Linked DNA regions of Saccharomyces cerevisiae S288C. The gene in region 1 interacts genetically with each later gene. Each region holds a gene or a part of one and is shown on either strand. Other genes may lie near its edges. The genes, in order: LCB5, CPR7, RAX1 and ERG13.

Evidence for each region.
Region 2: mutations in LCB5 (region 1) and CPR7 together harm fitness more than expected from each alone (negative genetic interaction), as found in Saccharomyces cerevisiae (2 studies listed by BioGRID).
Region 3: mutations in LCB5 (region 1) and RAX1 together harm fitness more than expected from each alone (negative genetic interaction), as found in Saccharomyces cerevisiae (2 studies listed by BioGRID).
Region 4: mutations in LCB5 (region 1) and ERG13 together harm fitness more than expected from each alone (negative genetic interaction), as found in Saccharomyces cerevisiae (3 studies listed by BioGRID).

What each region holds. Positions count from the first base shown.
Region 1 is NC_001144.5:663,105-668,407, reverse strand, and holds LCB5 (sphinganine kinase LCB5), read right to left. Parts: upstream 2,565-5,303; coding exon 501-2,564; downstream 1-500. Other genes in the region: Rab family GTPase YPT6, read left to right, coding at 1-164; VPS63 (Vps63p), read left to right, coding at 1-171; chaperone ATPase HSP60, read left to right, coding at 3,406-5,124. UniProt on the Saccharomyces cerevisiae protein: Catalyzes the phosphorylation of the sphingoid long chain bases dihydrosphingosine (DHS or sphinganine) and phytosphingosine (PHS) to form dihydrosphingosine 1-phosphate (DHS-1P) and phytosphingosine 1-phosphate (PHS-1P) respectively.
Region 2 is NC_001142.9:486,477-494,731, forward strand, and holds CPR7 (peptidylprolyl isomerase CPR7), read left to right. Parts: upstream 1-4,604; coding exon 4,605-5,786; downstream 5,787-8,255. Other genes in the region: Arf family guanine nucleotide exchange factor GEA1, read right to left, coding at 110-4,336; RAV1 (Rav1p), read right to left, coding at 5,902-8,255. UniProt on the Saccharomyces cerevisiae protein: PPIases accelerate the folding of proteins. It catalyzes the cis-trans isomerization of proline imidic peptide bonds in oligopeptides. Plays a major role in negative regulation of the heat shock transcription factor (HSF).
Region 3 is NC_001147.6:879,343-887,410, reverse strand, and holds RAX1 (Rax1p), read right to left. Parts: upstream 6,447-8,068; coding exon 5,139-6,446; downstream 1-5,138. Other genes in the region: ISW2 (DNA translocase), read right to left, coding at 1-2,897; carbamoyl-phosphate synthase (glutamine-hydrolyzing) CPA1, read right to left, coding at 3,277-4,512; YOR302W (uncharacterized protein), read right to left, coding at 4,569-4,646; BUD7 (exomer complex subunit), read right to left, coding at 6,736-8,068. UniProt on the Saccharomyces cerevisiae protein: Required for the establishment of the bipolar budding pattern. Involved in selecting bud sites at both the distal and proximal poles of daughter cells as well as near previously used division sites on mother cells.
Region 4 is NC_001145.3:18,560-22,305, reverse strand, and holds ERG13 (hydroxymethylglutaryl-CoA synthase), read left to right. Parts: upstream 1-1,770; coding exon 1,771-3,246; downstream 3,247-3,746. Other genes in the region: alpha-tubulin TUB3, read left to right, coding at 1-258; PGA3 (cytochrome-b5 reductase), read left to right, coding at 607-1,545; RSC9 (Rsc9p), read right to left, coding at 3,497-3,746. UniProt on the Saccharomyces cerevisiae protein: Hydroxymethylglutaryl-CoA synthase; part of the first module of ergosterol biosynthesis pathway that includes the early steps of the pathway, conserved across all eukaryotes, and which results in the formation of mevalonate from acetyl-coenzyme A (acetyl-CoA).

The DNA.
Region 1 (5,303 bases):
TCAAAGCTTTATTCAAAAAGATTGCCAAATCGCTGCCTGAATTTCAAAACAGCGAGTCAACTCCTTTGGATAGCGAAAATGCAAATAGTGCAAACCAAAATAAACCGGGAGTCATTGATATTTCTACAGCAGAGGAGCAGGAACAAAGCGCTTGTCAGTGTTAGCACCTAATATTTCAGTTCTATAGGGCATAAGGAGAACTCTTTGTGTGCGTCATATTTTTTAGTGAACTACCAGCACATAATAATTGTACTGATAATATTAATAATAATCATAATCATAATGTACTTGACGATCTGATGTGTAGGAGCTAGTACTCACTAAACATGGTTGTATTAAAGAATGGTATTAAAACTTTTTATAAAGAAGTATGGAGTGTATAAAGTTATCAAACAACAACAAAAACAACAACAACGTAAAAAAAATATAGAAGAAATAGAAATGACATATTCTAGTTTTTGATTAATTGTTCAGTACGAAGGAAAAGATTAAGTAAAGTGTCACATAGAATCGAAATCTGTGTCCACATAACGGCCATTTCTCAGTAACGTCTTGCATAAGCGTGGCATAATTTCGACTTGAAGGGGCTCTAGAGGAAATTTCTCGCCATCGACAGAGAACAAGCCGTTCCCTAGCTTTGGTATTATCTTGTATGCCAAAATTTTAGAGTGTAAGACTTCCGGTTGTAAAACATGGGAACCCTTATCTAGTCCCAGCAGGATTGGTGCCATCCTCGTCAACGAGGTTCTTGCATCGGTGATAACCATATCCATTGTACCATCTGAAGGAAGCGCTGCCGGAAAGAATTTAGTGTCAGCAGCCACATATGGCATTTTACCCGTATAGAAGATACCTAGGTTGTTCGAAATATTAGGATCCAATCTTTCCCAGTCACTAGGGATACCTTCATCTAATGGATATTTTATTTTGAAATCTTCCTCTTTAATTTGATCAGCACTAGAATCTGCCAGATCACGAGATATCAAGTGGGAGTCTTCGTCATCCGCATCCGCATCTTCATCTTCATCTTCGTTTTCGGTTTCGTATTCATTTTCGTAATTGTAATTATCACAATCCTCGTTATCTTTGTTCATAGTAATATGCTGGAATTCTAACGACCCTTTATTTTTGTGTTCCAGGTAATGATTTTTTAACTCGTTTTTTGATTTGGCAGCATACTTTACATATATCTCACAAGGATATTTTTTTTTTTGTATGATATTGAAGGCTACACCCAATTCAAACCTTGCAGGTCCCATCCATCTAATAAATTCAGTGTTTATGTCAGTTTCTGCAATGAGACCATATGTTTGACTTAAAAATGATAACTTTGGGTGCTCTCTTGCATAAGAAGGCTGCGAACAACACATCAAATCAATTCTAGTCTCTATCGATTTAATTAAGCATAAAGTTGAGTACGAAGGATTGTTTGTCCAGTGGCAGGATACGCTCATTGCGTTACCTGATCCGCATGGAATTTCTGTAATGGCGATATTGTTGAATGCTTTGACATGATCAGGCCTTTGGTATAACCCATTGATCACCTCATGAGGAATGCCATCTCCCGAAGCGCAAGCAATAGTGTCATATTTGTCAATATCCATTTCCCGCGCGATCTCTATAGCATGACCAGGGTATTTTGTATAAACCACTTCTATGGAACACCGACTTGCTAATAGTAACGGCTTTGCCTTTGTCATAAACAGTTTTTTCGCCTTACCTTTACCACCAAACGGATTAATGATCACAAATATGGATTTGTTCCTTCTAGTGTTTTTGTAGCTTCTCTTTAAAATCTCCTCAACCAAGTCATCTTCTTCTTTTAAGTGAGAAGATGAATGGGGTTTATAGTCAATATACAATGAAACCCTTTTGGGTACAACGTCATGCCGTCTTGGCCTAGCAAATATAACCTCTACTAGTTTCGTAAAAGGAGATCTGGAAGTCAGGAGGCTACTACTACTGTTACTTCCTCGCGATAGCGAGTTGCCCTTCCTTTCTTTTTTTTGGGAAGACTCTAATTCATCAAGATCACACTTTTCACTAATGTTACTCATTGAGCTGCTTAAAGGTGAACTGGGTGATGAATTGGCATCATAATAATGCAGAGGTTCCTTTTCAATGTATCTGGCATCCAGAATTCGTCCATAGGGGATAACGGTGTTTGCTGGCAATTGACCATTCACCGAAGGATAATGAAGTTTTGGATTAGCAGAAAGATCATCTTTACTTGTATCCGTTGTCGATGTTTCCGATCTGTCTATTGTATCAGTATCGCTTAAACAGGTAACACAGCTAATTAGTGAAGCCGTTTCAAATATACTGTTGTTATCACTGTTGCTTTGAAAGCTAGTTCTACTGATGTTGCTTTGAAAGCTAGTTCTACTGATGTTGTCAATGCTGCTGCGACTTCGTTTATCTGCCATTCTATTTGCGTATGTGTAAGGACTTGATGGTTTTGCCTTGATCATTATTCCTTCCTCAGTCAGTATCGCTGACGTTATTTGCTTCTTCCTGGAATGGCGAGACCTGCCCTTACGTCTCTTTGAAGGTTTCAAAGTCATCTCTTTTGGCTTACTGTTTAAATCTTACACTATTTGTGGTTTTTTCGAGATAATATCAAGAGTCCTTTTACTCTTCTTTTCTTTCCTATTTTGCAACACGTATATACAACAGTTTATGCTGTAGTTATACTTTTTTGATTGTTTTTGTATAAATAGATTCGGCTCACGCAGCTTACGTTCCCTTTCTTCTTCGCCTGCGAAGGCTTTAACAAGGCCCGAAAACACCTTGATTTGCAAATCTAACTATGAATCTTGCAGAAAAGCGGTGGCAACTGAAAGGGAAAAAAACATAGATTAAAAGAAAGCAACATAGTAACATAAAGGAAGAGAAAATTTTGATGATAAAGAAGATGAATAATATACCTAATGCATCCAAATGTTCCTCCTGTTATACTATTGGGAATTATTGCGAGTGCATCCATTCGCGCAATGATCAAGTAGAACGCCAAGACTAGTTGTGCAAAGAAGTACAGTTGAAATTCCAGCCAGTTATGTCTCATCCCTATTCCACTGTTTTTGTAGGTATACAATGGTGTTACGAGCAATTGAAGCTGTTTATTGCCTGGTATTACCTCTGGAAACTTACTTTATAGCCGCCCATCTGTATATGTCATCATATACGGACCTCGTGGAATTTTCCAGAAAACCAAATGGGGAGGGTGACTTTAATTTTGCTTCGTTTTGCCCGGAGCAGAATCCAGACGGACATTCATGTATATATATTGAAGGAGACTAAGTTTTACATTCATTATGTAAGGTCGTGGTTGCGTCTTCATGCACTTCCTTGAATAATATAAGAAAATTCCCACGAGAAAACATCATAAGCAAAAAAGTTTTCAAAATGTTGAGATCATCCGTTGTTCGTAGTCGCGCTACTTTAAGGCCTTTATTGCGTCGTGCTTACTCCTCTCATAAAGAATTGAAATTCGGTGTAGAAGGAAGAGCCTCCCTTCTTAAGGGTGTCGAAACTTTAGCTGAAGCGGTTGCTGCTACTTTGGGTCCAAAGGGTAGAAACGTTTTAATCGAACAGCCTTTCGGTCCTCCAAAGATTACTAAGGATGGTGTTACAGTTGCCAAATCTATTGTGTTGAAGGACAAGTTTGAAAATATGGGTGCCAAGTTACTACAAGAAGTTGCCTCCAAAACCAATGAGGCTGCTGGTGACGGTACTACTTCTGCTACTGTCTTAGGTAGAGCCATCTTCACAGAATCCGTCAAAAATGTCGCCGCTGGTTGTAACCCTATGGATTTGAGAAGGGGTTCTCAAGTTGCAGTTGAAAAAGTGATTGAATTTTTGAGCGCCAACAAGAAAGAAATTACCACATCTGAGGAAATTGCTCAAGTAGCAACCATTTCTGCCAATGGGGACTCTCATGTTGGTAAGTTACTAGCTTCAGCTATGGAAAAGGTTGGAAAAGAAGGTGTCATCACTATCAGAGAAGGTAGAACATTGGAAGATGAACTTGAGGTTACTGAAGGTATGAGGTTTGATCGTGGTTTTATTTCTCCATACTTCATCACTGATCCAAAGTCGAGCAAGGTGGAATTTGAAAAGCCATTGCTATTGTTGAGTGAAAAGAAAATTTCTTCCATTCAAGATATCTTGCCAGCTTTGGAAATTTCCAATCAAAGCAGAAGACCTTTGTTGATCATTGCTGAAGATGTTGACGGTGAAGCTCTTGCGGCTTGTATTTTGAACAAGTTGAGGGGTCAAGTTAAGGTTTGTGCTGTGAAGGCGCCTGGTTTCGGTGATAATAGAAAGAATACAATTGGTGATATTGCAGTCTTGACGGGCGGTACTGTTTTTACTGAGGAGTTGGATTTGAAACCAGAACAATGTACCATAGAAAACTTGGGTTCTTGTGACTCTATTACCGTTACTAAGGAAGACACCGTTATCCTGAACGGTAGTGGTCCAAAGGAAGCTATTCAAGAGAGAATTGAACAAATCAAAGGCTCCATCGACATTACCACCACAAATTCATATGAGAAGGAGAAACTGCAAGAGCGTTTGGCCAAATTGTCCGGGGGTGTTGCTGTCATCAGGGTCGGTGGTGCATCTGAAGTTGAAGTTGGTGAAAAGAAGGACCGTTACGATGATGCTTTGAACGCTACCAGAGCTGCAGTTGAGGAAGGTATCTTGCCAGGTGGTGGTACTGCCTTAGTGAAGGCATCTAGAGTTTTGGATGAAGTTGTTGTCGACAATTTCGATCAAAAATTGGGTGTCGATATCATAAGAAAGGCCATTACAAGACCAGCCAAGCAGATCATTGAAAACGCTGGTGAAGAAGGTTCAGTTATCATCGGCAAATTGATTGATGAATATGGTGATGATTTTGCCAAGGGTTACGATGCCTCTAAGTCAGAATACACCGACATGTTAGCCACTGGTATCATCGATCCATTTAAAGTGGTTAGATCCGGTTTAGTTGATGCTTCTGGTGTTGCCTCACTATTAGCTACTACCGAAGTTGCTATTGTTGATGCCCCAGAACCACCAGCAGCTGCTGGCGCTGGTGGTATGCCAGGTGGTATGCCAGGAATGCCAGGTATGATGTAACGACCGCCTTAATTCAAAATTTATCTTTCGTTTAAATATGGTAATAATTTTATTATCTTGTAAATACAATGTGAAAAAAGTTGAGATTTTTAGGAATCACTTTTTCAAGTATAAAGAACTATATATGACTATGAGCTATTATATCTTTAAGTATGACTATATGTTGATAACTGAACAAA
Region 2 (8,255 bases), on another chromosome or scaffold:
AAATGAGATTGCTTATATATCGCATTATTACCTGCGAAAATCTAATTTACGACTCCTTGAAAAAATTCCATCATACTAAGTTTCTTGGTATAGTTACATTATCGTTGGTCTACTCCTTCTCGATTTCCCTCTTAGAAATAATCAACTCTTGCAACTGCCTTTCCACCGTAGGATCATCTACATACTTGTTAAATACGTTAAGCACTCTCAAAAAAGTTTCGTTACTTGTTACGCCTTCCACAAGTTGACCCAAGAAGATTTTAGAAAGAACGGATAAAATGCTAGTAATTCGTTTCATCTTGACATCTTGGATTTCATCCAACTCAAAAATCGGTAATAATCCTGTCTCTAGTAGGTTATCCACCGCAACTTTTTCCGTACGTAGTTGACTTGCTCGAGATAACAGAATGTTCTCTAATGCTTGCAATGCTTGCATACCTAGTTCGTCACAGGGATTGAGGCATTGATGGGCGAGACCTTGAATAGCAGCTATAATCTCATTCTTGTTGAGTGCTGAATTACTCCTCCCAACAGTCGAAAGTAGGTCTGCAGTTATATTAATGGAACGACTAGAAAGATCAATAATAGAACGGTATGGATTGGATTCAGGTGCTTCACACCCATCCTCGACTGAATTTTCATAATTTTGTTCCCATTTTGTGCCAACGGCACCTGCACATGACATTTCATCAAGCAGACTTAATATGTTCATAAAGTTCCCATCATCTACAAAGATATCACCATTTTGAATGTATTTTTCCAAAAATGTGTAGACGGCAAATTGGCGGTCTTTGGCTGATATTAATATCCTTAAAAAATTCCAAAATTTTACATTTTTGAGAGCCCGCTCATTGTATTTTACGTCATTGAGATGTGTAAACAGATCATTTATTACTTGCTTCCCCCATTCACTTTCATAATATTTAGTATTGAAGATTTCATTTTTTACCAAAAAGTCGTGTTCTATTAAATCACTTAAAATGTCCCGTGGATTATCAAATCTCGAAACCAAAAACATTTTATACGAGGCAAGTCTTGCAATAGCCTCCTTGGAAAGGCCATCTAAATTCGAAATATTAATCATATGATCAGCAATTAGTGCTCCAAATTCTTGTCCATAAGAAGCCTCTGATATTAATATAATGGATATTTCCAACAAAAAGAGAAGTTCTTGTTCGAAATAGGGCGAATTTTCACTCGTTTTTTCAATCACAAGTGAAGAGAGAAGAGTTTCAATCATCTTAGGACTGACGAGTTGATTGTTCTCAAAGACTGAACTGAGAGGATGGCTAGCCTTAACGCACTCAAATGCTTTAATGGAAAAATCGATGTCTTCTTCCGAAGGTTCTTCATCGCCTTTCAAGTAAGAGGCGAAAGTAGACAGAAGGCTTCTGCTCATCTTTGCCTTGCGGATCGATATATCTGGATCTGGCAATGGTAGTTCAGGAAGTTTCAAGAGTGAATGAAAGTTTGTAAAAAATGGTAAATTAGGTTCCATCAATAAATTCTCGAATAATTTCAAAATGAGTTGCACAATCTGGTTCCATAGTCTGGTAGAAACAATGCTAGGATCACTTATTTCTTTAATGATTTGAAAGTACAATACGGTACATAACTGAGCCTTAAAGTTTTGTCCAAGTCTTATACTCTGGTTACTAACGGATATCTTCGACCCAGTGTCTTCGACGAATATCTCGACCAAAGGAATACTGTCAACATCTAGCTCCACCGCTTTTGCGCTACTTTGTGCCAATGTTGTCATTTCTCCCAGATGAAGTACAGTATCATTATATGACTGGTCAAAAGAAAAGTAATAGTTGATAAATGTACACTTACTAATGGCGTCCAAGATACGTAATGATATTTGATCACTGGAAGCAACTGTGAATATTTTGAATAAAGTCTTCAGGATAATATCTCTAACATTTGAGAAAATTGCTTTCTCATACTGAAGTATGTCTATTTGCGCTAACTTAGAAATAGGGTTTGTGAAATCTCTTTGCATCTCTGTCATCACAGATGTTGAGGATATTAAGTTATTCCAGGCATCTTCAAACCACCTTTCATTTCCATGATGTTCTTCAGGCATTACTATTTCCTTAACTTTGATGGACGTGTAAATTTTATGCAAATACCAACGAGGAAAATCTTTTCCATTGTAGCATCCTCGTAAATTGTTAGAGTAGTCATCAAAAGTCATATGGTCTTTAACCTGCGGGTTATGTGAATCGGTATTTAACATGATTATCGAATAACTTAACACAAACACAGAGTCTGCATCAGGCTGTACATGAATGATGTCATCTTCTGTCATTGACTCTGAGCCATTTTTTCCTGCTTTTTTATCCTCTAACTCCACTTTATCATTGCTTTGATCAGCAGAATATTTTGATGAAAATGCTTCAACGATTCTTTCAATCTGTTGAGATTCCCCTGGTAATCTGAATTTCGTCAGCAAAATTCTGATCGCTTCATCAACCCTTAACCCTTTAAAATCGAATAGATCTATAAATTCTTTTAACAATGAAGTTTTTTTCGGATCACAAAGTAATAGACCGATGGTTTTCTTATTTAAACGTCCGTTATTGAGAAACAAAAATGAAGCAATGTCTCTATTAGAATCCGAATCAATGAATCCTTTTTCAATTAACATTTGAATGCCTTTCTTTGCCTTTTCATTAAATGTTTCAACGCATAATATGAATTCAGTCTTTCTGTCTCTCTGTTTCAAAATATCAATTTCTTTCTGATTTTTTACGAATTCTGCCCTATCAAATCTCTGCAGATCATTGTATATATTTTCAATAAGCGAAAGTACACCTTCTAGGCAAATTGGAGGAATGTTGTTAGAGGTATTAACGGCCGCCGCTGGTAAAGAAAATTTAGTTAGCTCTTTTATAAAGTCAATCGAAAGATCCGACCTATCCAAATTACAATCGAAATTTACAAAAAGTTGCAAAAAGAAAGCGGGAGAGTGAATCCACAGTATTGAAAGTTGTTCAATAATTAATTCCCTGATTGCAGGTGGTTTTTGCTTACTAACGTCACCACTGATTGTGGTATCCTCTAGAATTTCGAATATTCTCCTTAAAGTCAGTTCAATCTGCATAGGCAAATAATCACCCAATATCACAACCAAACTCGTGAATAATTGTAAAGTTGCTTGCAAAAGAGAATACTGGGTAGAACTTTGTATAATGAATAAAACACTTTTAAATATTGGATCAGAAATTAAGCTGAATAACCGGGGATATAGAGGAAATTTGTCACCGGATATTTCAATGGCTGCATTGATTAACTGTAGAGATAATTTCATGGCCGAAGTTGTGTGCTTCATTCTATTCTCTGGCATAACCAGTGATAACAATAATCCAAGATAATCCTTTATAACTGTTATTCCGTAATTTGGCTCGACATTTTCGGCTTTCTCAGCCGTTTCCTCATCATTTTCCTGTTCCCTTATGACCTGTTGGACTGGCTTCTCATTTTTATTATCGTCTGCAACAGCACTGTCATCATCAGTGCTACTCAAATCGTTATCAGAGGTAGTCGTACCTATAATGTCATCCTTCAAATTATTGTCGGTGTAACTTTCATCATTGATATATTTTTCTGTTTTTGTAGGTGGATCTAGTAACTTCAACTTTGTAAATAGTTTAACGGTTATCCCTGCAATTGTAACTTCAGCCGTTTTCCTCAAAACCTCGCTTCTCTGCGTATTACATGCCAAGGAAAGTGTCGTTTGTAAAACATCGTAGATTATAGTATCGGAGAGATAGTCTCCAAAGGAAGAGGTTATAATATCGCGTAGTAATGTTACAACTTTTAATAAAACAGAGTCGTCCGAAATTTGCTTTGAAGCTTCAAATCTACAATGTGTAAGCGCAACAACGGTTTCCCTAACGGCAATTTGAATATCATTAAATGTTTTGTTTATGATTTTTAGTGTAAAAACTTTCTGCAACGAGTCCAGAGCCAGAGAAGTAGTATAACCCGATACTGAACTAGCGCTGACTATTTCTAAAAATGGTTTCAAAAGTTCCAAGGCGTTTAATGAATCTAAACCCTTCAAGTCGTTAATTTTTAGCCGCAGCTGTACTAAACCAGATATCAGAGGATCATGATAGCTAGAAGTAGGCAAATTGTGGAAGCTGTCAACAAACGAATCACTTTGACTCAAGAATATATCACTACCTCCGCCCAGCAACGCGGCCACACTTGTTTGTGATTTATCTCTGGACTGCTTGTTCATGGCAGAACAAAGATTGATGCACTCTTTGACAATCATCGTAGCTGGGTTCACGGCCAAAACAGTTTCCATTGGCACGTCGTGCATTTTGTATATGAAGCCGTATTAGTTAAACCTGGGCGCTTCTTACCAAAGTTGCGAATTAACTTAACTAAGATGGTTCAATTCTCTGTGTAAAGTATCCATATTAAAAGGTCTTAGTTCCAACATGTAAACAAAGAGATCTATATATTGTTTTTTTTCCAATGCGCTGAGTGATGAAGTGATTAGAAAATCATAAAAATGAGAAACTGCAAAGAAAAAAAAAGTCGTTATTCTGAAAGGTGTTCGGCAGCAACAACCTACATCCAACGCGATGATTCAAGATCCCCTTGTATATTTAGACATCTCCATTGATAAAAAACCAATTGGTCGTATTGTCTGCAAACTTTTTCGTGAGAAGGCTCCTAAAACAACAGAGAATTTTTATAAGTTATGCGCTGGTGATGTTAAGAGTCCTTTGAAGGATCAACAGTACCTGAGCTATAAGGGAAATGGTTTTCATAGAGTCGTTAAGAATTTTATGATCCAGGCAGGTGACATTGTCTTTGGGACACAAAAGGATTCCTCTTCATCGTCTGTTGGAAAAGGTGGATGTTCAATTTACGCTGATAAAGAGGAAGTGAAAACCGATGATGAATCTTTCTGTTACGGGAATTTTGAAGACGAAAACTTGGGAGAGTTTGTAGAACCCTTTACCTTAGGTATGGCCAATTTAGGTTCTCCAAATACGAACAATTCCCAGTTTTTCATAACTACATACGCCGCACCTCATTTGAACGGCAAGCATTCTATTTTTGGGCAGGTGGTTCATGGAAAATCAGTGGTTCGCACTATAGAAAACTGCAGGGTAGATTCTGATGGAGTCCCTGAATCAGACGTTAGAATCAGCGACTGTGGAGTGTGGGAAAAAACTATGGGTGTCCCGCTTTACAACGCTTCTAATGACCAAATTGGCGGTGACGTATACGAAGAATATCCAGACGATGATACACATTTCGGTGACGATGATTTTGGTAAGGCTCTTGAGGCTGCTAATATAATCAAAGAATCTGGGACGCTCTTATTTAAGAAAAAGGATTACTCTAATGCCTTTTTCAAATACAGAAAATCTTTAAATTATATCAATGAATACATGCCTGAACCCGACGTAGACAAAGAAAGAAACATCCAATTTATTAACCTAAAGATGAAAATTTACCTAAATTTATCTTTGGTGCTCTTTAATCTGGAAAGATACGATGATGCTATCATGTATGCTACGTATTTATTGGAGATGGATAACGTTCCTAACAGAGATCAAGCAAAGGCTTATTATAGAAGAGGTAACAGTTACTTAAAAAAAAAGAGACTAGACGAAGCTTTACAAGATTATATTTTTTGTAAAGAGAAAAATCCCGATGACGAAGTTATAGAACAAAGAATAGAATATGTCAATAGGCTCATAGAAGAGAATAAGGAAAAGACAAGAAAGAATATATCAAAGTTTTTCTCCTAATTAGTTACTTGTAAGGCTGAAATTTGAGATTAAATAACCCAATATGAAAACACTACATTAATAAGATGTAATTATTTTTATTTATAAATCCATTTATTTGATAAAAAATATGATATCATACAAAGTCATCTAGTAAGTTCTTGGTAATAGCAGATTTTTTTGGCTTCTGTGGCTTTTGTGATGAAAGATCATCTAATATGTCCTTAGAGAGTTTATCTTTCCTATTTTCTGAGTTGTCTGTTTCACCCACAGAGTCGTTTGGCGCTTTTGGAGTTAAATTCTCTTTATGCTGAGAATATGAAGGAGAGACGAACTCATCCAGTATACTTCTAGGTGCAGAAGAAGAACTTTGAGCGAGGGAATTTGAAGAAGTGCTATTTGGTGGTGGTTGCAAGAAGTCGTCTAATAAGCTATTTGGTAACTTTGGATTAGGTGACTCTATATCTGAAGCACTTGGCGAGCCAAACTTATCAAAAAGACTGGGCCTCATCCTAGCAGTAGAAATTGGTTCAGACGCCATGGCGCCAATAGCAGAATATGCTCTATCCTTGGTGGGGCTCTTTAATAGCTTCTGAACTGGTATGGAATTTCTTTCGATGAACTTCCAATTCTTCACAAGTGAAACCGCCAGGTAATTGCAACCCATTCGGCAAAGAATATCAGTAACTCTTAAGATCAGAGTACACTCGATTTTTGCTTCAACATTTAGAGATCCAATGAAATACTTCAAGTTTCTGTTTCTCAGGTGATTGTATAGATAGAGCAAAGCAGGGTCTTCAACAAGGAATGATCTGTTAACACAGACTTCCTTATCAACAATGCTTGAGTTGTTTTCTAAATCAATCGGAGCAGTCAGCAAAGCTTTAATAGCCACTTCCTGCTTTCTCAATTTCCAGTAAATGAAACTTGCTTTCCATCTATCATTCTCCTTTATTGTTTCAGGTAGCATTTGCGCTGTCAATAGCTCTCCCAACACGGGTCCATTATCACCTTCATAAACACGACATACACCGATTGCCAAATCCATATCATGCACTTGCTTGCAAAGAACGTTGACACAATCTTTTAGAGAGTCAGTTAAGAGAAAGAAAACTGCTGCATCCATATATCTATGCTTACTTAGCAGAACAAAAGCATTTTTGAGTGCTGCCGTTCTCCACCTCGGTACAGTGAAATCATTACTGATAAATCTAACCATCTTTTGCTGCTCAGGATGACCAATAGCCATCTTCCACAAGCTCAATAGTATCTGTTTTTTCTTCAACGCAAGATAAAAAATAGCACAACGGCTTGGATCCCTCTTATCATCTTTGGAAAATTCATATTTTGCAATATCCTCGAATTTCTTCACCAAGTCCTGCTCCTTAATCCAATAGGCTATTCTATATTCTCGAGCGCGATTCCATGAGGTTATGTGGCGGTCAATAGAAGATAATAATATTTCTTTATTGTCTGAGTGCAATGCCCAAGACACATCCCTCATCAATATGCTTTTTTGAATATTTTTATGTGATAAAAATAACTTCACGCCCAACAAGAACCTAACACCGTTGTAATCTACTATATTCTCATTTTTGGTGACTTCATCCACTGCTTCAATGACTGTGATAAGCGTGATCTGCTGGTGGCGGGTTAGATAAGGCAAAGTTGTTTTCGTTAGTTGCTCAGTAAGTGCTAGAGACACTGTCTTATTGAAACAGGGGTATGGATCAGGGAAAGATTCGACCGGATAGTCTCTATCTTTAGCAATAAAGTACTTTAATGGATCCATTCCTAGATTGGAATCCAAATTAGATACATCTTGCGATTCAAAGTCTAATTTTCTTAACGCTAAAAACAATCTTAATAACAGCTCCTTGACAAGTTGTAACTTATTCGCATAAATGGCTTGAATCAAAAATTGTGGATGATAAACTGGAAGTGGACCATTTAAAACACTACTTAAATGGAGAATATCATTTGATAAAATTTTTCTTGAACCAATTGATTGGTACGTAAATGGATCAGTCAAATCCAGAGATTTATCCTTGATGTAAAATTGATTTCCGGAAGCAACAACAAACGTGCCATTTTTCATCCATACGGAGTCACCTATATTATGAGCTGTATGTGCTGTGATATCAATTTTTTCAATAGGTAGGTAACTAGGTGTGTTGTTCGTGTAATCATACCTTAATTGAGTATAAAGTAAAGCGTATCCTGTAAATCCGATAGAGACAATGCTTTGGCCATATTCCGTGCTTGTCCAATCTATATCCTCGATAGGATTATGAAATGTTTCTTCGTATTCAAGAACTCCCCTGTTCAGGTCCCATAGTGACATTACTTTACCAGTAGAATTAACAATACATAACTTACCTGTAGATGATCCTCTAATACATGTACAATTCATTATTCCGGTGTTAATTTCACATGCCTTGATCCATTGGACATGCCTATCATTATAATTAACGATGGCTTTATACGTTC
Region 3 (8,068 bases), on another chromosome or scaffold:
AGAGTTTCCTGGAATTTCAGTTTTTCATTTTTTTTTTCACCAAGTTCTACATTATGTAAATACTTCTCCCACCCATTGATTTCCTTTAGTCTTTCCCAGAATATTTTTGCATACACTTCAACCTCTTCTGGTGTTTTGGAATCAATAGATTTCTTAATGTTTTCCATATCATCTCTACCGTATTTGGCGCAGGCGTTGATAAACGCCATAAAGTCCCTCTTATTCCAGTTAGTAAAGGCTTTTGATATCAATTCTTGCTTTCGTAATTCATCTTCTTGGGTAAAATCCGGTGCTGAATTAATCTTCTCTTGCTCCTCCTCAATCCTTCTTTTAAGTTCCTCATGGCCTTTATGACCTTCTGTATTAGCGGCATTTTTGTATTCTCCTTCTTCTTCTTCAGCATCGCTTCCTTCATTACGTATATCTCCCGTAATATCATAAGAAGTAACCTTATAGTTGACCTTTTTCTTGAAGTAAAGCTGTTCCTTTTCTTGTAAGGCATCCAACTCCTTGGGGAAGAACTGGAAATCTTGACCGTGTATAACCTTTGGAGCGCGGGGTGCTTTTGGCTGCGGAGTTTGCTTGCTTGCTGATTTAGAGCCACCACCAATAATTTCCTTATAATAATCGTCAACTGAATAAGTGGTTTGCTCTCTTCTTCTTTCTCTTCGGGAAGGATTAATCCATTCAACTACTTTGTCGTTGGATTTTTTTTGAAAGCTTTTACCATTCCATTCGTAAGCAGATTGGTTCTCGATCCCATTGAACTTTTGTAAGTCGTCAAGTCCTAAACTTTGGTATTTGGCATTTAGTTCTTGTGTCTTCTGTTCCCCCTTTTTCAAAATATCATCGATATCAGCATCAACAGTGACTTTACTTGCTTTCTTTTCAAACATATTTTTAGCGCCAAATTGAATCATATCCAACAGATCATCCTTTGAGTTACCAAGAGATGCAGTTTTCTTGCCCGTGCCCTGTTGGATAACCAACTGGTCTAGTCTCAGCTTTTGTGCGGCACGCTCAATGACTTTCTCTTCAATAGCATTTTCTGTGACAAATCTATAAACATGAACTTGTTTCTTTTGACCAATTCTATGCGCTCTATCCATTGCTTGTAGATCAGCTTGAGGGTTCCAATCAGAATCAAAAAGAATAACAGTGTCGGCTGTGACAAGGTTAATACCTAAACCACCGGCACGTGTTGTTAGCAAAAAAACGAACTTTTCAGAATTAGGTTTATTATACTCATCGATAGCTTCTATACGTTCTTCATGGCTAGTAGAACCGTCGATTCTGCAATATTCAAAATCTCTAAAATAGCAATAATCTTCTAAGATATCCAATAGTCTCGACATTTGACTGAAAATCAATACTCTAGATCCCTTTTCCTTCAGTCTTTTCAGTAACTTATCTAATATAATCATTTTCCCGGAATTGAAAATCAAATGTTCATCGGTAGTGTATGGAGGTCCAGGTTCTGCGCCTTCAAAAAGATATGGATGATTACAGCATTTCCTTAATTGCATAACAATATTCAGTAACCTCGTTTTGCCTTCTCTTTTTCCAACAGCACCGTTAACAGCGTCTATATCCTTCTCTAATAATGATTTATACCATTGTATTTGCATGTCTGTCATCCCCACGTAAACATTCGTTTCGATTTTAGGTAGCAAAGATTTTTCGACATCCGCTTTGACTCTTCTCAGTAAAAAGGGGTTTAGTACTGAGTGTAGCTGTTGGATTACAATTTCTTGATCTTGTTCCGAATTGTTTTGTTCGAACCATTCATCAAAAAGTTCAGAATCTCCAAATATATCAGGTAATAAGAAATTTAGCAGGGCCCATAATTCGTGTAGATTGTTTTGTAGAGGCGTGCCCGTAATCAATAATCTATTCTTAGAGTAAAATAATCTAATTATTTGAGATAACGCGCTTTGTTCATTTTTGATCCTGTGAGCCTCATCAATAACAATATATTGCCAAGCTAATCTTTTCAAAGCATTCTTTTCTCTAATGACCATTTCATAAGATGTAATCAATACATCAAATCTAGCTTCTAATATTATATTCCGTACTATATCAGCTCTTGTGTCTTTATCACCATGTAACACAAGGACATTGACGTTTGGAGTCCATTTAAGAAACTCTCGTCTCCAATTATCTAGTGTTGACTTCGGTACTATTATTAGAAAGGGTCCCTCGATTTGTTTGACGTATCTCAAATAACCTAGGAATGAAATTGTTTGTAAGGTTTTACCCAGCCCCATTTCATCGGCCAAGATACCAGATAGTTTGTTTTCGTGCAACGATATTAACCAGTTTAAGCCTTGAACTTGATAGTCTCTTAATTTTCCTGACTTGACGAAGGAGGGAGATTCTGAGACGAATATGTCTTCCTGATATGTATCTACAATCTCTTCTTCCTCATCAGCCATTAATTCAGCATCTTCCTCCTTTTCTGTTTTTCTATGGTGACGTGATGACGAACTGACGGTGCTGTGTGATTTGGAAAGTTTGTTTGCATCAGAATCTAACTGTTTTAAGAGTTTTTGAATATTTTTATCATGTTTTGCCTTAATTCCAATAAAATGACGGAAAAGGTCTGTGACGCCTAATAAATATTTGAATCTTTTGTACGTATCGGACTTGTCCTTTTGCTTGGCGTATTTTGGATCTACATCAAGTACGAATTTTTTCTTTCTTTGAGCCCAATATTCTGGTGGTCTATCTTCTACTGTATATATTTCTTTATCTGATAGCTCTTCACTTTGTCCGATATTATCATCATCACTACTGCCATTTGACTTTGAGTCGAGAGTATCGACTAAAACTTCTGAAGGTGACTCGCTTTTGCTATTCTTGGTATCACTTCGTTGCTCCTCTTGCTGGGTCGTCATGATCTGATTGTAAGTTTTCCTTTTGTTACGACTTAAACCAACAAGACGGGTATTATTGGAAAGTAAATAAAACAAACCACAAAGAAAGAAAACCGTTTGCACAAACTCCTTGAGTTATGCAAATATACTTATCAAAATTTAACTGAAGCTGAAAATTTTTGAGTCTGCTTTATTTGATTTTTTTTTTAGGATGGCAGGATGAAATTAGAGCCATTGTACGTACGTTACGTTTTTTTGTTCATTTAATTACAAGAAGCGCCCGTTAATTATGACAACTGCGAGTAGATACTAAGCAACGACGAGTAGCGCAAAATACCATGAACTGAATTGAATCGTATTTAGATGTACGTATGTGTTACGTAATGTATAAATTTTGTTTTTAGAACAACACTCTTTCCTTGGCCAACTTAGTAACATTTATACTCTGCAATCTCGATTTATCGGTACTGTATGTTACTTTTAGTGAGATTGAACTTTTTGCCTGAGATTGTAATTGGTATTTTTCTATATTATCGAAGAATTTGTCAAAAAGAATAGCTGTGTCTAAGGGACCACCTTTTGCCTCTGGGTGAAATTGGGTAGAAAATATGGGTCTTTGAAGGTGTATCATGCCTTCGTTTGATTTGTCGTTTAAATTAACAAAATAAGGTTTCCATTGGTCCTTTGGTAGGGTCTCAGGATCAACTGCATAGCCATGATTTTGAGATGTAATGTGGCACTGGCCGGTAGTCAAATCCATGGCAGGGATGTTGTGAGCCCTATTACCATATTTCAATTTGTGAGTAGAGGCACCGGAGGCCAGAGCCAAGAGTTGATGGCCTAGACAAATCCCAAAAATAGGGATACAGTCATAAACAGGGTTATTTAGTAATTCCCTGACGTTGGAAATTGTAGCTTGGCATAGTTCTGGGTTGCCTGGTCCATTGGATAAGAAAATACCGTCGAATTCAGAAGCAACATCTTGAATTCTGTAATCATAGGGGAAAACAGTTACATTGGCACCTCTTTTGACTAGGCATCTGATAATGTTTTCTTTAACACCACAGTCAATAAGAGCCACATTTGCCTTAGCCTTCCCAGGTAAGGCAGAGACGTGGAAAGGCTTTTTTGTGGTGACTTGAGCAACCAAGTTAGTTTTCATGGGATTCACGTAGGGGACAGGGTCATGATCAGCCAACGTAATACGGCCCAAAGAAGAACCTTGTTCCCTCAAGTATTGCACTAGTTCACGGGTGTCTACGCCAGTAATAGCAGCAACACCTTCTCTCTGACACCATTGTGCCAGAGATTCAACAGCGGTCCAATGCGAATATTGATAAGCATATTCAGCGACAACGATGCCGACCACATGTATATGCGGAGATTCAAAATACTTCAGTAAATTGTATTCATCGCGGGCTTCGCCGGATGGGACACCGTAGTTACCAATCAAGGGTTGCGTGAAGACTAATATCTGACCACGGTAGGAAGGATCAGTCATGGACTCTGGGTAACCAACCAGAGAAGTAGTGAAAACTGTTTCACCAGCAACAGATTTGTTTGCACCAAAAGATATACCTTCAAAGGAAGGACCATTTTGGATACAGAAAGTAGCTTTTGTTGCAGCGGAGGACATTTGAAATATTTTTAGGAGTGGTTTGTGATAGAATTTCTGATTATTAAGCAATGAAATTAGTGGGAGCTAGTTTTCCAGATGTGGTCAGATATGTAGTCTTGGCAGGTGTATTGAGAGTTCGATAAGCTAAACATATAATGTTTTTTTTATTTCAAATCTGCAAAAAGGGTATGTAGAAGAGTCGATTACCTTGTATTCTTTGCAGTATTTAAACAATTAGATGTTCGAGTGTATCTATGTGTTATAGTTCTGAAGAAAAAAAAAAAAAAAAAAAAGAAAAAGAAACGACGAGTCAAGAAAAGAAAAGAAAAAGGAGGGGCATGAAAAAAGAAATTGACCGAATAATCTAATGAACGTTGGATAGTTAAGTGTCTTACGAGAGAGCCTTATATATCATGTCATCGCCTTTTTTTTCCGCGAGAGGTGATAAGTGAAATCGCAACTATTTACTCATCATGAGGTAATGCGATGCGATGATGAGTCAAACACCCTTCCACGGGAAGCGCCAGCCGGCGCCCTCGGTAAAGCCTGCACTTAACGGCCCCTCGCTGTTTCTTGTACTTAGCGTCACGCGCTATGGAAATATGCGGTGCACAGGTGTTTTTATAGGGGGGTGATGGATTACATCATACACGACGGCCGGGAACACAGCTGAAAATAACTGTGAATGCGGCAGTGGCACCCACTACGAGAAGCAGACACCACAGTCCACGCTTACGTAGAAGCTGCCGAGTAAATGGGTGCTCTATGCGGGTAAGACGGCGCCTACCGCCGAACACCGCAAGTATCATTGGCACGTGATCGGTATCACTAGAAGCATCTCCTTCGTCATTGCCAGCGTTTTTGTGTCTGTGGAGAAGTCTCTGTGTGACGCCAAACCAGGAATACACAATGTCCACTTGATACATGCCACACACAATGCAGTAGCATCCCAGTGTAAATGGCACGACCGTAACGACACGGATTGCGCGACTATACGCCAGGAAGATTAGAACATATCCGATCCAAAAGCCGATGCCTAGCCAGAGCAAACCAAAGCCAATACGACTGATTGACGTGTGATTGGAGAATGGCGAGCGAGAAATGTGCGTCTGGCCTCGAGAGCGATTGCTTTTTTCGTTGGTGACGCCCACTGAGTGGAATCTCCAATCAGATATTTCATCGTGGATGTTGTGTAGTGCGACGCGGCTTAGAAATTTTGGGAAACAATCCATTTCTAGGAATTGGTAAGTTAGGTTTTTTAGGTCGTCAAAAATCTCAATGTCGTACTTTCGCTCGATTTGTACGCTTTCTATTATGCGGTTCCGCGTTTCCATGGGGATGTTGCTCAGGTACCGTTCGCTTTGTTCGGGCGATACTAAATAGGTGTTGCAGAGACCAACTGCGCTGTGCAGCAGTTGTTTTGTAGTTATCTGCGGTTTTCCGTCTTGTTGGGAGCGCCTTTTCATTATCTCGTCGACGATCAGCGCTACGTCTTCGTTTCTCAGGGCTTCTTGACCGATACCCGATTGGTGCTTCCAATCACCCAGCAATTCGTTTAATTTTGGTGAAAAGGGCACGTCTGGGCCGCTATTTTCTAAGAGTTTATCAGGTGCTTCCGGGTCTAGGTGCCCTTCTTCTATCAGTGCGTTCAGCAAGTCAAATGTAGCCGTAGATGTACTTCCATTCTGCTGTTGTTCTTGTGGAAAGTTGATTAATGATTTTCTTACCAACTCTATGTAGTTTTTGCAAAGTCGTGTATGTGTCATAAGGTCAACCCAAAAGTCCAGATAGTTGATGGCATATGGGAATTGTGAAAGAAATGTATAAAAAGTCCAGAGATCAACTGGCTGCGATGTCCTCTGTATTAACACTTCATACAATGTTGGCAATCGTTCACGCTGGATCATCTCGAAATTTTGCATACTGCTCACTTTGCTGAGCTCTTCCTTCATGATGAATGGGACGCTCTTGAACTTTCTTTTTGGCAGAAATTGTTAGAGGTCGTTGTGCACAATGAATTTCCCGTATGTGTTTTATTGATATTTTCGTTTTGCCCGCATTCTCGAAACACGAATATTTTTCCTCGAATGGCGGCGGGCGGCGAAGTTACATAACCAGCATTGCTCTGTATTAATGTATGCTGGGTTTTCTTTAAAGTGACCCAAGAGTTTGACACAACGTTGAAGCGTATCGCCAATTTTTTTTGGATTATATATACGTATTAATGTCTTTTTATCGTATTTATGCATCGTAGCATCCAATGGTGCAAGTAGTGAAGAAATTGAGCAAATTCTCCTGCACCAAGTTGAGAACAGTTTCTGGATATCTTGACGAGATTTCATTCGAAACTTTGGTCAGACTCATATCTTGAATAACCACACTTAAACAATCAAGTAAACTTATGGAAAATTCCGTATACCAACGGTGGTTCCAGCAGCATATCTTCACGCAAAGGTCGATAATGCTATTGTCTAGCTCTCTTATGCGTGAGCTTACTATTTCAGGGACCATGTCATGCGAATTAGGTGAGTTTATAAAATTTTTGACCCGTTGGCGTTCGTTTATACAATATTCCAGCAGTTTCCTCGCGCACCTTGATGAAAATCTCTGCGATAAACCGTTCTGGAAGGCCTTGGCGGCCTCAGGGAAATGGCCCAGTCGACGTGCACAAAGGCCAAATAACTCCCATTCGAAAGTCAACTTATTGTGGTTGTTATTCTGTGCATCCATGTACAGTTGTTCGGTTTGCCATAATGTATACATCTTCAGGTCTTCATATAAAAGCATGAAGAGGTTGTCTAACCATCGTTCACACAGCCGTTTAGCCCTCAGAGGCTGTTCTTCTTGTTTGTTAACGTCCTTTGGTAACGAAGATGATGATTTTTGGTACTCTTCTTCCATAACGAAAATGTTTGATCTGTACTTTAACAGATTTTCCCAGCCGGTGATCTGCACAATTTCTGTCAATAATCGGTATGCCAATTGGAAAGTAGATTTCAAGTTCGACGCAGCTAAATTGACCAGCATTGGATCCGCAGAGCGGTGTTCATTCTGAACGTCTTGTGGATTCAACGACGTCACTTCATCCAGTACAACGTCAATTGGCAATGGCAAATGAAGACTATTATTCGAAGGCAACGGAGCTACTCTTTTCAGTACGTATTTTTCCTTTAATGGAGACATAGGGCATGAATTCAGTATCAGTAAGGCATTTTCAATATCATTTAGCTTTACATACACCTTGGATAAAAGATACCAAGGTCTAAATTCACTGGGAGAACAATTGACTGCCTCTTGCGCTATGTTTTGCGCCAAGCTGTAATCCTGCCTTTTGTCTATCAAAAATTGCGCTTGTAAGCACAGTAATTCAGATTTATAATCCATGCGGTTATTAGTGTTGTTTATTATTTTATCCTGCGAAAGCATATCGTATGTGAGCTTTATTGCGTCTAATTCTTGATCACACACCAAAAAGATCTTGATTAGTATTATGATCGCCTCAGGGTTGTCGGTAGCCAGATTCTTCAACATTATTTCCGCCCTGCTAACATTACGAGTCAGCTTAACTATCTCA
Region 4 (3,746 bases), on another chromosome or scaffold:
CCAAGTGTGATACCAAGTTCCGAATTAGCCAATGTGGATAGAGCTGTCTGCATGCTATCCAACACCACTGCCATCGCGGACGCTTGGAAGAGAATCGATCAGAAATTCGACCTGATGTATGCCAAACGTGCTTTCGTCCATTGGTATGTCGGTGAAGGTATGGAAGAAGGTGAGTTCACCGAAGCTAGAGAAGATTTAGCTGCCTTAGAAAGAGATTATATTGAAGTGGGTGCCGATTCTTACGCTGAGGAGTTCTAAGAAAGTGGCTCTGATCCCGATACCCACTTATAGATTTATATTTACTTAATGTCCATATGTATATACATATATATATATATATATATATACGCTTATATATATATATGCATATTCTATCCAAATAAAGATACCTCTAATTATCGAATTATTTTTCACTTACCTTTAGGTGTACAGTTAGAACAATAGCTTATTAAATTTATTTTTTTCCCTATGTTCCGCGGAATATTGAAAAATTTGAAAATATTCTAAGACAAAAATACCCATAAAAAACAAAGAGTTTTGAGCTCATCTCGTTGCCACCCAAACTTATCACAAAAAAGGAAGCACTCCAAGAACCGCGTGAAGAAAATGTCAAAAGAAGACATAGAAGGAACTAACATTCTAGACGAACCTGTCCACGGGATCTATATTCCTGCCGCGCTATTCGTTGTTGGTGTTGCAATCACCACGTATATGTCTGGTGAATTGAAAATCCTGTGGAGTTTACCCATTCTCTTCATGATCATCTTCGTCAGAGCATACTCTGCCTACAAAAGAAGAAGATCACTGTATCCAGATAGGTGGACTTCGTTAGAATTGGAAGATCAAACCATAATTTCCAAGAATACCGCCCTGTATCGTTTTAAGTTGAAGACAAGACTGGAAAGCTTGGACATTCCCGCTGGTCATCATGTTGCTGTACGCGTTCCAATTGACGGCAAACAAGAGGTCAGATACTATAATCCGATCAGTTCTAAACTAGAAAGTGGATACTTGGATTTGGTGGTGAAAGCATACGTTGATGGTAAAGTCTCCAAATATTTCGCTGGCTTAAATTCTGGTGACACCGTGGATTTCAAGGGGCCAATAGGTACTTTGAACTACGAACCAAATTCCTCCAAGCATTTAGGTATCGTAGCCGGTGGTTCTGGTATCACGCCAGTCCTACAGATCTTGAATGAAATCATCACCGTTCCTGAAGATTTGACGAAAGTCTCCCTGCTATATGCCAATGAGACTGAAAATGACATTCTATTGAAGGACGAACTGGATGAGATGGCCGAAAAATACCCACATTTCCAGGTCCATTACGTGGTACACTATCCATCCGACAGATGGACCGGAGATGTCGGCTACATCACCAAGGACCAGATGAACAGGTATCTGCCGGAATATTCGGAGGATAACAGACTCTTGATCTGTGGACCTGATGGAATGAACAACTTGGCCCTTCAATACGCTAAAGAACTGGGCTGGAAGGTCAATTCAACGAGAAGTTCTGGCGACGATCAAGTCTTCGTCTTTTAACGGAATAAGCTTCGTATATACAATAGAAAAATTTTCCATACAATATTACATAATACTATAGAGTAATCATACCCACAATCTCCATGGCTGCGGTATCGTGTCGAAAATGAACCGGGCTATTAATTATACGAGTGTGTTGAAAGTAGGCTCCATTCGGCCTCATCGGGCGGAACTGTTTGGGTGCCTCGCCAATTTTCGTAGCCAAATTACTATAAAAGGTGCAGCATGAAACTCTCAACTAAACTTTGTTGGTGTGGTATTAAAGGAAGACTTAGGCCGCAAAAGCAACAACAATTACACAATACAAACTTGCAAATGACTGAACTAAAAAAACAAAAGACCGCTGAACAAAAAACCAGACCTCAAAATGTCGGTATTAAAGGTATCCAAATTTACATCCCAACTCAATGTGTCAACCAATCTGAGCTAGAGAAATTTGATGGCGTTTCTCAAGGTAAATACACAATTGGTCTGGGCCAAACCAACATGTCTTTTGTCAATGACAGAGAAGATATCTACTCGATGTCCCTAACTGTTTTGTCTAAGTTGATCAAGAGTTACAACATCGACACCAACAAAATTGGTAGATTAGAAGTCGGTACTGAAACTCTGATTGACAAGTCCAAGTCTGTCAAGTCTGTCTTGATGCAATTGTTTGGTGAAAACACTGACGTCGAAGGTATTGACACGCTTAATGCCTGTTACGGTGGTACCAACGCGTTGTTCAACTCTTTGAACTGGATTGAATCTAACGCATGGGATGGTAGAGACGCCATTGTAGTTTGCGGTGATATTGCCATCTACGATAAGGGTGCCGCAAGACCAACCGGTGGTGCCGGTACTGTTGCTATGTGGATCGGTCCTGATGCTCCAATTGTATTTGACTCTGTAAGAGCTTCTTACATGGAACACGCCTACGATTTTTACAAGCCAGATTTCACCAGCGAATATCCTTACGTCGATGGTCATTTTTCATTAACTTGTTACGTCAAGGCTCTTGATCAAGTTTACAAGAGTTATTCCAAGAAGGCTATTTCTAAAGGGTTGGTTAGCGATCCCGCTGGTTCGGATGCTTTGAACGTTTTGAAATATTTCGACTACAACGTTTTCCATGTTCCAACCTGTAAATTGGTCACAAAATCATACGGTAGATTACTATATAACGATTTCAGAGCCAATCCTCAATTGTTCCCAGAAGTTGACGCCGAATTAGCTACTCGCGATTATGACGAATCTTTAACCGATAAGAACATTGAAAAAACTTTTGTTAATGTTGCTAAGCCATTCCACAAAGAGAGAGTTGCCCAATCTTTGATTGTTCCAACAAACACAGGTAACATGTACACCGCATCTGTTTATGCCGCCTTTGCATCTCTATTAAACTATGTTGGATCTGACGACTTACAAGGCAAGCGTGTTGGTTTATTTTCTTACGGTTCCGGTTTAGCTGCATCTCTATATTCTTGCAAAATTGTTGGTGACGTCCAACATATTATCAAGGAATTAGATATTACTAACAAATTAGCCAAGAGAATCACCGAAACTCCAAAGGATTACGAAGCTGCCATCGAATTGAGAGAAAATGCCCATTTGAAGAAGAACTTCAAACCTCAAGGTTCCATTGAGCATTTGCAAAGTGGTGTTTACTACTTGACCAACATCGATGACAAATTTAGAAGATCTTACGATGTTAAAAAATAATCTTCCCCCATCGATTGCATCTTGCTGAACCCCCTTCATAAATGCTTTATTTTTTTGGCAGCCTGCTTTTTTTAGCTCTCATTTAATAGAGTAGTTTTTTAATCTATATACTAGGAAAACTCTTTATTTAATAACAATGATATATATATATATTTTTTTTATAAAGAATTGTATATCTATATTTATAACACAATAAATCTAATCTCAACTTTTTTCTTTAAAGTTAAGCCCAACCGATTTTTTTTCTCATTCATAACCCCGACGTGTTTTCCATGTATTCAGACAATGCTAATGTTAAAGGTGGAATATCAGCCAATTTATGTAGAACCAGTGGCCTGATGCGTTGACAAAATGCGGAACCAGCACCATCATCCGTGTCGTTGGATAAAAGGCACAAAAACGTACAGGCCACTTTAGAAACATCTGAGAGTTCTTGAGGGAATTTGACCTCTGGTATGCTGTTTTGTCTTGCAGGTGTAATTTCCTTAGAGTCATTCAAA